2 separate regions of the Mus musculus genome follow, and region 1 is reported to be linked to region 2. Evidence: microRNA targets listed by miRTarBase, many of them from high-throughput screens and not tested one by one. Region 2 holds a microRNA gene; the other region holds the end of a gene's coding sequence.

What was found. The annotated mature microRNA mmu-miR-505-5p reads GGGAGCCAGGAAGUAUUGAUGUU and lies in region 2 at 3,484-3,506, shown strand. An mRNA with a match to its seed (bases 2 to 7 or 8) in the 3' UTR can be bound and repressed. Matches are read on the target gene's strand: a 7mer-m8 pairs with bases 2 to 8, a 7mer-A1 pairs with bases 2 to 7 and ends in A, and an 8mer does both.
Region 1: the mRNA of Iws1 is a reported target of mmu-miR-505-5p. Seed matches in the 3' UTR shown: 7mer-m8 at 4,307-4,313.

What each region holds. Positions count from the first base shown.
Region 1 is chr18:32,096,549-32,101,937 of GRCm38, reverse strand. It overlaps Iws1 (IWS1, SUPT6 interacting protein), which reads right to left. Exons shown (of 14, transcript NM_173441.3): 14 at 1-4,788. The coding sequence ends at 4,657. Among named protein-coding and RNA genes, the nearest start is that of Iws1, 32 kb to the right of the region's middle.
Region 2 is chrX:60,392,568-60,397,956 of GRCm38, reverse strand. It overlaps Mir505 (microRNA 505), which reads left to right and starts at 3,465; the gene lies at 3,465-3,554. All of the region lies in intron 1 of Atp11c (ATPase, class VI, type 11C), which reads left to right.

The DNA.
Region 1 (5,389 bases), not on the chromosome of region 2:
GTCATGATCAAGAAGGATTTACTGACAGTGTTAGGATGACTTAACAGAGTAACAATGACAGAAATCTGATAGGTTGGAGAGAGCTTAGTTGGTAAAAGTAGATTGCCTTGCAAGCAGGAAGACTCATGTTTAGTCCCCAGGATCTGTGGAAAGTCATGTGATGGTACACATCTGAAGAATAAAACCTAATTAGAGAGTTCCAGGACAGTCAGAGATCCTGACTCTAAAAACAAGGTGGATGATGCCAGAGGGTTGTCCTTTGACCTCCACAACAGTGTGCATGTATGCACCGACAGACACTTGTGCATATGTACATCTGTATAATTTAAAAAATGCATACATACATACATACATACATACATCAGTGAAATATACACTACCAAGATGAAAGAAAAACCAGTGATTTCAAAGGATACAGAAAAATCATTTCATAAAATTCAAATATTGTCGTAATAAAAACTGAATAAATTAAAAGTAGAAGGAAGGTCAACAATGTAAAAGCCATACATGAAGGTCCCACATTATACTCAGTGAAGAGAGACAAAGCCCTTTCTTTAGTCCCATAAAACCAGGATGCCCATTTCATCACTAGTATTCTCCCAATACTAAATTCTAACAATCAGGCAAGAGGAAGAAGTGAGAGGTATCCAAATGGAAAGGAAGAGGTAAAATTGCCAGTTGCATTTGTTCATGAACAATGATCCTAAATGAAAATTAGGAAAATAGAACAATTTATAACAACATCACAAGGAATTAATATACTTAGGAATAAATTCAACCATGGACTCTAAATGGAAAGACAGTTCTGTTTAAGAACCATAAGACTTAACATTGTTAAAACTCAGGACTTCCTCAAAAGGCAAATGTAACCCAATCTCTGTTGAAAACCCAATGACAGCTATACAGACAAGTCATACAAAACCTCAAAGAAGCCCAGAGTCCAAACATATCGAATGGAAAAGTGGAGGGGCCCAGAAGGATGGCTCTTCAGGTAAAAGTGTGGGCAGTGCAAGCCACATAACTCAGGGGGAAGAAGAACCTATTCCTGAAAGTTGTCTTCTGACGTCCACATGCAGCTGTGGGGCAGGCACGTACATATTCATACACACTTTCCCCTTCATTTCAAGGAATCCCAACAACCAAAACAATACTGGAGTGAATAAATCATATTACTTGACTTCAAATTTTACTATAAAGTTCCTGAAGTAAAAACAGGATAATGAGGATAAAACAAAACAAAATGAACTAAAAGTCTGGAGCAAAATATACAAGAAAACCCTCATACTGTCAGATACGTTTTGATAAGGGATCCAAGAGCAGTAAGGGTCAGTCTTTCAACAAAGATGTACAGAAATAAAAGTAAACTTTCTACAACATAAAATTATCTCAAATGGATCAGACTTAACAGTAGGGCCAAAGTTACAAAAGTCACTTAAAAAAGCACAAGGCAAAGCATTATCACCTATACATAGAAACAGGCTGGTGAGATAGCTCAAATGGTCAAAATCCTTGCCACTAAAGTCTTGCAACCTGTCTCATCCTTAGAATCCAAGTAAATAAAGGTCGAAGGCAAGAACTCCATAAAATTGTGATTTTCCATATGCATACCATGGTTCCCCTCCCCCCATAAATTAAATTCTAGGTTCCTAGAATAGTCTAAATCAGAGGCAGAAAGCAGAATGAACTTGTCAAGAGCTGGTGGAAGGAGCTAAGGTGTTTGTTGTTTGAGGCAGGATCTATGCAAGTCTTAACTGGTCTGGAACTCTCTATAAAGACTAGGATGACTTTGAACTCTGAAATTGTCCTGCTTCTGTCTGCTTAGTGCTGGGATTAAAAACGTGCACTACTGTGCCCAGTACAGCTAAAGTTTGTAAGATGAAGGTGGCTCATACCACTGTGAACCCAGTCAATGCACCTAAGCTGTATGGTTAAAAGTGGTAAAGATACAAATCTTTTGCCAAAATTAAAGCATTTTACAAACAAACCAAAAAACAACCCAAACCAAAAAGTGACTACCCAGCATTCCATACAAGAGGTCAAAGTTAATGTGGCCAATCTTGAGACGAACTGTCAAGTAGCCCAGGCTGGCTTTGTTCTTGCCATGTAGCCAGGCCAGGTTGGCAAGGTGACAGGCCAGATATTTGTGGTACTGGGGATGGAACCCAGACTTAGTGCGTGCTAGGCAAGCACTCTACCAACAGAGCTGTATGATCTAGCCCCTAAAAACCATGGGTTGTTTCTATTCTCAGACAGGGTTTCTCTGTGTAGCTCTTGCTGACCTAAAATGCAATCAAAGCAGGATGGCCTCAAACTCAAGAGATCCACCTGCCTCTGCTTCCCGAATGCAGGCATTAAAGATGTGCACTGCCCCGCCACAAAACATGTTTTTAAGAGAAATATGCTTAGATATGGAGCTTGAGAACAAAGGTTCTTGATAAACTATACTCACATGCTCTGCAAAAGAAATCTTGGATATAGAATATAAAATGTGGCACACTGAAAAATATTGAAGGGTAAATGGGAGCTAATTTTAGTGTTCTAGAAACTATAGTAAATGGAAACTATGAAGGCAATGAATGGGTCAAGCTTGGGGACCCCCCCCCCCCAATCCACACAGCAAAGGTAATTTATAAAGAAATTAGCATCTTTCCCTTCAAGTAGTGCAGAACCATCTCCTTCAATCAAGGGCTTATCACCTGCTGGTTATATTTACTCCCATTAACATGGTGTTACGTGAAGCTCATCCCAAGACACCAAAATAACTCTTAAAAACTTGCTTTACATGTCAGAACTGTTTTGAATTCATTAGATGCTTTTATTGTTTTTAGTTAATGAAATTAAACAAAGCCAGAGGTAGTTTTTGCCACCACCTAGTCTGTAACTGTTGGCTCTGTAGGTTTCTGCTTCACACTCCATTTGCTCTTGCATGCTGAGTGTACTTTAATGAGGCTTTATGAGGCTCTTTTCTTTTTTCTCTCTCTCTTTTTAAAAGACAGGGTTTCTCTGTGTAGCCCTGGCTGTCCTGGAACTCACTCTGTAGGCCAGGCTGGTCATGAACTCAGAGGTCAGCCTTCTTCTCCCTCCCAAATGCTGAGATTAAAGGTGTGTGTCACCACACCAGGCTTGAGAGGTTCTTATGGAGTGTTCTAGTCCATGAAGTCCACATTCCTTCAATTGTCCAAAGGCCATTGTGGCCAATAATAATCTATTTTTTTAAATCAAGGCTCCAGTTTGTACTAGAAGAGGACTTAAGTAATGAATGAGTTACTGATAAAACTTTCTTGATCTATAGAAATCTCTCATGATTAAGAATTCTCAAAACCAAGTAAGAAACTATAAATAGTTTCTCCTTTTTCTATTTGTCCAATTGCTATATGTAACTAATTTTCAATTATATCTGTATTTTCTTAACTTTTTCTCCCCACAGCTTAACTCTTCAGATTTAAACAAACAAAGCATCTCTAACAAGAGAAATAAAAAGTATGCTTGTTGTATTTCCAACTCTACTGAGATACCATCTTTATTTGAACAGTCTTTGAGTAACTCAAAGTTATTGTTGGAAGAGCTCCCAAAATTCCTGCCTCTGCCTCCAAAGTGCTGAGATTATAGGCATATACAGTGGTATACAACACAATTCTGATACCAAATGCTCGGTGTTAGTGTAAGAATTGACAGTTCTAGGGATCAGATTTCCTCCACAAGACTGTCCCAACTTCAGACATAGACTGCAAGTGATATCTTTAGACCATGAAAATTCCAGGGTAGCTATAAACTTCCAGGCAAGTTCCCAAGAATTTCTTGGTTTAAAAACCTGCTGAATGACTCATAGAACTTGGAAAAGCACTATGTCTTTCAATAAAAGGTTATACTTATAACTGATCTTATTAGAAAAGATACAAATTAAGCCAACCAGGTCAATGAAGATTCAGGAGTAGTATGGAGGGTGGTGCAGAGCTTCTGTGCCTTTGTTCTCTTTGCACATCAACATAGTTGCAGTATCCAGAGCAGTTAAGAGTCTTGCCATGTAATCCAGGCTAGCCTCAAACTCATGACCCTCTTATTTCAACATCAGTCTCCAAAATGCTGGGATTATAGGTGTGCAAGGCACCTGACTTGTCCAGAGTTCTTTTCTTTACTATAGCTTCAATACAAAGGTATGGCTGGTTAATCAAACAGGCAATACGACTAGGTCAAGCATATTTCTGCTGACCAGTCTTAGAGCGAACTTAGGGCCCTACGATGTGCCAAATCAAGAGTATAACAAAGATAGTTCAAGAATTGTAAAGGTTTGAGATATTCCTTGTCAGGAGCCAGGAACAAAGGCCAGACAAATTCCTCATATCATACTTACACACTGAAACGGACTGGCTTTTGATCTCACAGAGAATAGTGTCTAAGACAATGATGAGACAACCCCCCAAAACCATAATGAAATTTTATTACGTACAGTTGATAGAAGCAGGAGTAGTAAGTACTCTTCTGTACAAAGCAGACAACTGGTCTTAAATACAACGGAGAGAAATGTTAGTCCTACAACAACAGATGATACAAATCGAACCATTTAGAGACACACTAAGACATTTAAAATTATCTTCTTTCTCCATAGTCCACTGTGCATTTCTTTCTTTTAGAGATGGGGACACGTCCCAGGCAAGATCACAATGGCATTTTATTGCCCTCGATGCTGATTTTCACTGCATGTGCAGATCTGCTTTTTTTCCTGATATCTGTGAACTTTCTCATCTGTTTATCCAGTCGACTGATACCTTTCTTGGAGGATGCCTGAAACTAAGATTGGGGAAAATTGAAGAACAAATTATTGAAATATGTAAATCTAGCAGTGAGAAGAGCCTGAAACTTAACAATAACCAGAACATGCTTTGGTGACAAGAACAAAGTGTTAGGAGAAACCTACTGAACTCTCAGTGATGATTAACTGGTTACTGTCCGTGCTTTACTTTTAATTTTGCCACAATCCATAGAAACTTCCCAAATGACAGGAGGAAGAAATACAGAGACTATACTCTTCCCAATCCCATCAATGACATCTGACAGGCTAGTTGCCTGACATACAATTTCAAACAATTCTGGTATTAAAAAACAAACACCAAAGACAAGTTATTAGAGAAAGACTTTAAACATAACCAACACAGGCAAACTCTGAGGTGCTAAAGTTCTAGACTCAGCCTTGGGGTGAGTGTCTCTGCTCTGCTTCAGTGGTACCAAGAATCCTGTGCAAACTATACCTGTGGTCGCTACGACTGTTAGGATATTTTCACTTGCTTTTACAGTTAAAAGCTTAGTTTTTGTTGTTGTGCTTTGTTTAAAACAAATATTTAAAAATATTTCAAGCTGGGCGGTGGTGATGCACGCCTTTAATCCCAGCACT
Region 2 (5,389 bases):
AATATTTATTTATTGATTTAAACAGTCCAAAACTGAGAGTGAGTGACATATTTTTTTATTGATTTAAACAGTCCAAAACTAAGAGTGTTTCCTAAATGCCTTCAGTAAGCATTTCTCATTTGTTGATTTTGTTTGTGTTATTGCTAATTTTCTTCCTTCACTTTTAAATTTATTCTTATTTTCAGTGTATGAATGTCTTTGCCTCTATATAGATACTGAGCCTGAATCTTCTGGAAAACCTGTCACAGTCTTTGGGGTGTGTGTAGAAATTTATTCAAATGTTTACGATGGTAAAACAATCTTATGTGTAAATCTTCTATTCCACAGCTTCCATCCAAATGCTTGTAGAAAAGATAGCCGTTAGGCCCATTTCCAGATCAGGTAGTATTCTAAAGCTGAGCCATCCCTTTAGGCTTCTGTGCTGCGCTGCGCTGCGCTGTTCCAATCCAGTCCGGTCTGGAGTGGTCTAGTCCTGTTCTGTCCTTTCCTTTCTTCCCTCTCTTTCTTTCTATTTTGAGAGAGGGTCTTAATATGTAGCCCTGAGTGAGTTGGAAATTATAAGTAGACCAGGCTGGCTTTTAAATCATACAGAGCCACCTGTTTTCTGAGTGCTGGCATTAAAAGTGTATGCCAGATTATTTTTCAGTATTTTCTAAATTTTATTTTTATGGGTATGGGTATCTTGCCTGCGTCTGTGTCTGTGAACCATGTATGTGCCTGCTGTCTGTGGAAGCCAGAAGGGGTATTAAACCACCTCTCTGGGGCAGTATGACCAGTGGCCCTTGGAAGAAGCCCTTTGTCTTTATGATGTTTAAAGAATTAGCTTGGTTTGCCAATTCAAATACTGTTTTGTTGAGTGGAAAAAAGTCAAGGCTGGTTGCTTATCAACCATGGTTGATCAGTTTTTTCAAAGAGGGCAGACATATAAGATGCAAAATAAACACATTTTTTTTCTGATGTTGTTTGAGTTTCCTGTACATGAGTAGTGCTTTAAAACAGATAACTTCTGATGTCTGGAATCCCTGAAATGGGATGCTTTCTCTGGTTGGATGAAAGAGAATTCTGACTTTTCCAAGGTAACGGGGTGCTTCACAAGTTTATTGCTCTCTTAAGATTTATTTCCTCTCCTGATGTAAGTGAAGGTCAGCAGTGATCATAAAGCAAATATATTAGTACAGCTGCAGCATATGATAATACTACTGCAGATTAATGATGAATGAGTGTTCAGCACTGCAGATATGGCACAGGATGCCTTATTCACACTGGCAGACAGCCCCTCAATTACTGCAGTGTATGGATGGATTGCCAGTTTGGCTGTCTTCTTGATTATAAAAGATGCAGTTTTTGCATGGTGTTAGACCAAGAATATCTGGTTTAGGACGTTGTTTTGTAGTTTTAATGTATAGGCTATCATTGATATCATGCCCTATACTTACAATGGAATATGGGAGGGTTGAAGATGTGTGCCTGGTTCAAGCAGGTATCATTTGTTTCTTAGGCCACATTATCTTGAGGTATTAATGTGGCAGTGTCTTCCTAGTCCAGTCTTCTTCACCAATATATTCTTGAAAAAATTCAAACAGTGTTCTTGACAATGATTTTACACTAGCACAGGTAAACTATAGATAAGATGTTCAGTAAGTACTTTTGAATTGCTTTGAACTGACTTAGTAACAAAAGCTGTCTAGTTATCAGTTGAAAAAGCAGCCACTAAGAGGCCTCTGTGTTTTAGAATAGGCTTTTTATTTTAATAAAAGCATATAGCAGAAAAAATATCCTTTTTATTGGATAGTATGTGTCTTAGTTTGGGTTTCTTTGCTGTGAAGAGATACTGTGATCATGGCAACTCTTATAAAGGCAAACATTTAATTAGGTGCTGGCTTACAGTTTCAGAGGTTCAGTCCATTATCATCATGGCTGGAAGCATGATAGCATCCAGATACACATGGTGCTGGAGAAGGAGCTGAGAGTTCTACATTTTGATCTGAAGGCAGCAAGGAGGAGACTATCTCTTGCATGCAGCCAGGAGGAGGGACTCATCTGCACTGGGTAGAGCTTGAGGACTAAAGAAGACCTCAAAACTTGCCTACACAGTGGCACACTTCCTTCAACAAGGCCACACCTCCTAATAGTGCCCATGGGCCCAGCATATTCAAACCACCACAATGCTACACCATTATTTTGAATGAGGAAAAAAATTATGCACCCCAGTAGGTGGCCAGAAAAAGTTTGCCCTTTATTGAAACTTTTTTCTATTCGTCAGAAGGAGAACCTTTAAACCATTCCCTTTTCTTGGTGTTTCATAAAACTAATTAATATACTATCTTCAGCTTTTAAAATTCTAAGTACATTTGGATGCTTTTTTTGTTAAGTACAGTTGATAAAACATTTTCTTTTTAAAAAAATTTTTACTAGATATTTTCTTCATTTACATTTAAAATGCTATCCCTAAAGTCCCCCATACCCTCCCCCCCACTCCCTTACCCACCTACTCCCACTTCTTGTCCCTGGCGTTCCCCTGTACTGGGGCATATAAAGATTGCATGACCAAGGGGCATCTCTTCCCAGTGATGGCCGACTAGGCCATCTTCTGCTACATATGCAGCTAGAGACACGAGCTCTTGGGGGGTACTGGATAGTTCATATTGTTGTTCCACCTATAGGGTTGCAGACCCCTTCAGCTCTTGGGTACTTTCTCTAGCTCCTCTTTTGGGGGCCCTATGATAACACATTTTCTAATTCAACTAATACATCAAATCTACTTTGAAGACTAAAACTGCAGTGTTAACTCTAGCAGAGCTTTGTGTTACTTTTGTTTGTTTTTGAGATAGAGTTGTCTTTATAGTTCAGATTGACCTGTACTCATTCTTTAGCCCAAGCTGGCCTGGAACTCTGAATCCTCGTGCTTTAGCTTCTCAAGTGATGTGATTATATGTATGTGCTACCATGCCCATCTGCTTTATGTCATTTTACTCACTGTGGTAAGTGTAATTTATTTGAATTCAGGATAATCCTTAGAATTTAGTACTAAGAATATAAGAATGTATAGGCCAGGCATGGGGGTACATGCCAACAAACCCAGTGATAGGAGGATAACAATACCAACTTCAGACATACAGAGTTCTAGGCTATAGCTTAGGCCATAGGGGACTCCATTTCAAATATCCCAAACTAGGAGCATGGGAGAGAGGAGATGCATATTATGAAGGATTTGCAATTGTTTGTGAAATAAATCTCACCTTTGTTTGAAGGGTGCTATATGGTATTGACATTGAAAAAAAATTACTTTTCCGAGGTCAATAAGCTAGCCAGCCTTGGAGTTGATTGAGTCTGTATATGCTACTAATAGAAATCATACCTTTTCAGTGCTTCCACAACCATGCTTCCCCATAATGAGTCATTTCTTTTCATATTGCTGAAAGCATTCCCTGTTTGTCACTTGCAGAAGAGCAACCTCCGGTAGTAAATTGATGCACCCAGTGGGGGAGCCAGGAAGTATTGATGTTTCTGCCAGGTTAGCGTCAACACTTGCTGGTTTTCTCTCTGGAGTATCACCAAGTTCGTGGATTCTGTTTGTACTTCTATAACTGCTCAGATCTCCATGTTCCATATATTTGTCCATGTTTTCCAACATTCATTTGCACCTTTCTCACATCTCATCCTGTACATATCTTAGTTCATAGGCAGTAAGTATAAATATCCTCTTAGGCAGTATAATTCCACATAGCAAGCACACTAATGAGTATTTTTATTATAATAGCCCCATATATAAATAAACATACATACGTAACACATACATATATGGAGAGAAAGAAAGTCTTGGGATAATAAATTTAGGGCAATATTTGTAACTATTCTTTTATTTTGGGATTAGTTTTGAGTTGAATAATCAAGGAAATCCCCAGAAATATATTTCTGGTTAGTCTCAAGTTTCATGCTATTTACTGGTGTAAAGGAAAAGTAACAATTTTGCAGCAATCCTGTAGATCACCAGGGAGTAGAAGCCAGTAGGGAATTGTCACAAATAAATAACAGCTGGCTAGAAAAGATTATATAAGGTATACCTGTTGTGTGAGCAGTGGGCATGTCTTTTAAGCTTCACAATTAATCTGCTTTGTGGCAATGTGGATTAAGTTGTTTGTAGTATAGTGCACAATTTAATTTACTTCAGCTCATTTTCCTTTCATTTTAAAGAAAACAGGCTGGGGAGATGGCTCAATGGACAAAAGCACTTGATTCAGATCCTCAGAACCCACAAAACCAGCTAGAAGTGGTAGTTCAAGAGTTTGTCATCCATTCAGGTGTAGTGTCACAAAGCTTTGAATTCCAGCACTTAGGAGGCAGGCAGATCTCTGAGTTGGAGGCCAGCCTGGTCTACAAACCAAGTTCCAGGATAGCCAGGACTATACAGAGGAATGTTGTCTCAAACAAAGCAAAACAAACAAACATTAAGTCCATATTCTCAGTGTAGCCTTTCCTACTGGGAGATTAGAGGCTGAGACCAGAGAATTTCTAGAAGTCTACTCACCAAAGCTGGAGCCCTTGTATTGAAGTAACATTTGAAGGTTGATACCCCACTCTCTCTTTCTCTCTCTTCCTCCCTCCCCCCCTCTTACACACACACACACACACACACACACACACATGGGTGGGGAGGGATTGACCTAGCCTTTCAAGTAACTAGGACTATGCCACTGTGCCTACTAGCTTAAATTTCTTTTCTGACAATATTTTATGAGTCATAAGCTTTTATTTGAATATTCATGTCCTGTTAAGGGCTATAGAGGATTATACGGTACAAGCTCTGTTCTTGAGATAGAAGATATACATGTAAGATCAATCTTTATATGAAGTATCTGATTGATACTGACTAGTTGAGTCAGGGATGCATGTAGCCCAGGTAGCCCAGGCTGATCTCAAACTCCCAAATCTCCTGCCTTCCCCCTTCTCAGTGTTGGGAATCGTGGACATGCATCGTCATGCCTGGCTTTGGCCTCTTGAGTAGCATGTGAAGTAGACACTTGCAAAGAGAGAGGCATCGACTCTTCTTCACTTTAGTTGACCAATACTAATCAATTTCTCGTAGTTCTACCCACATCACCTAATCAATTTCCCCAAAGTTCTTCATAATATCATGATGAGAGCTAGACTTCAGCATATAAATTTGGGAGGGAAGGGTCACCAACATCTAGTCCATAACATAGCTGGAAGAGTTGTTCAGTGCTTTGTTTCCTATGATAAAATTTATAATTTATAAAAGGTAATGATAAAACTGGATATCAAGGTGCTTTAGGTTTCTACAACTGCACAAAATTTCCCATAAACTCGTTTCTGAAATCCATGATTCCAGGGCATTACTCTGCTGATTTGGAACAGTAAAATGGGGACC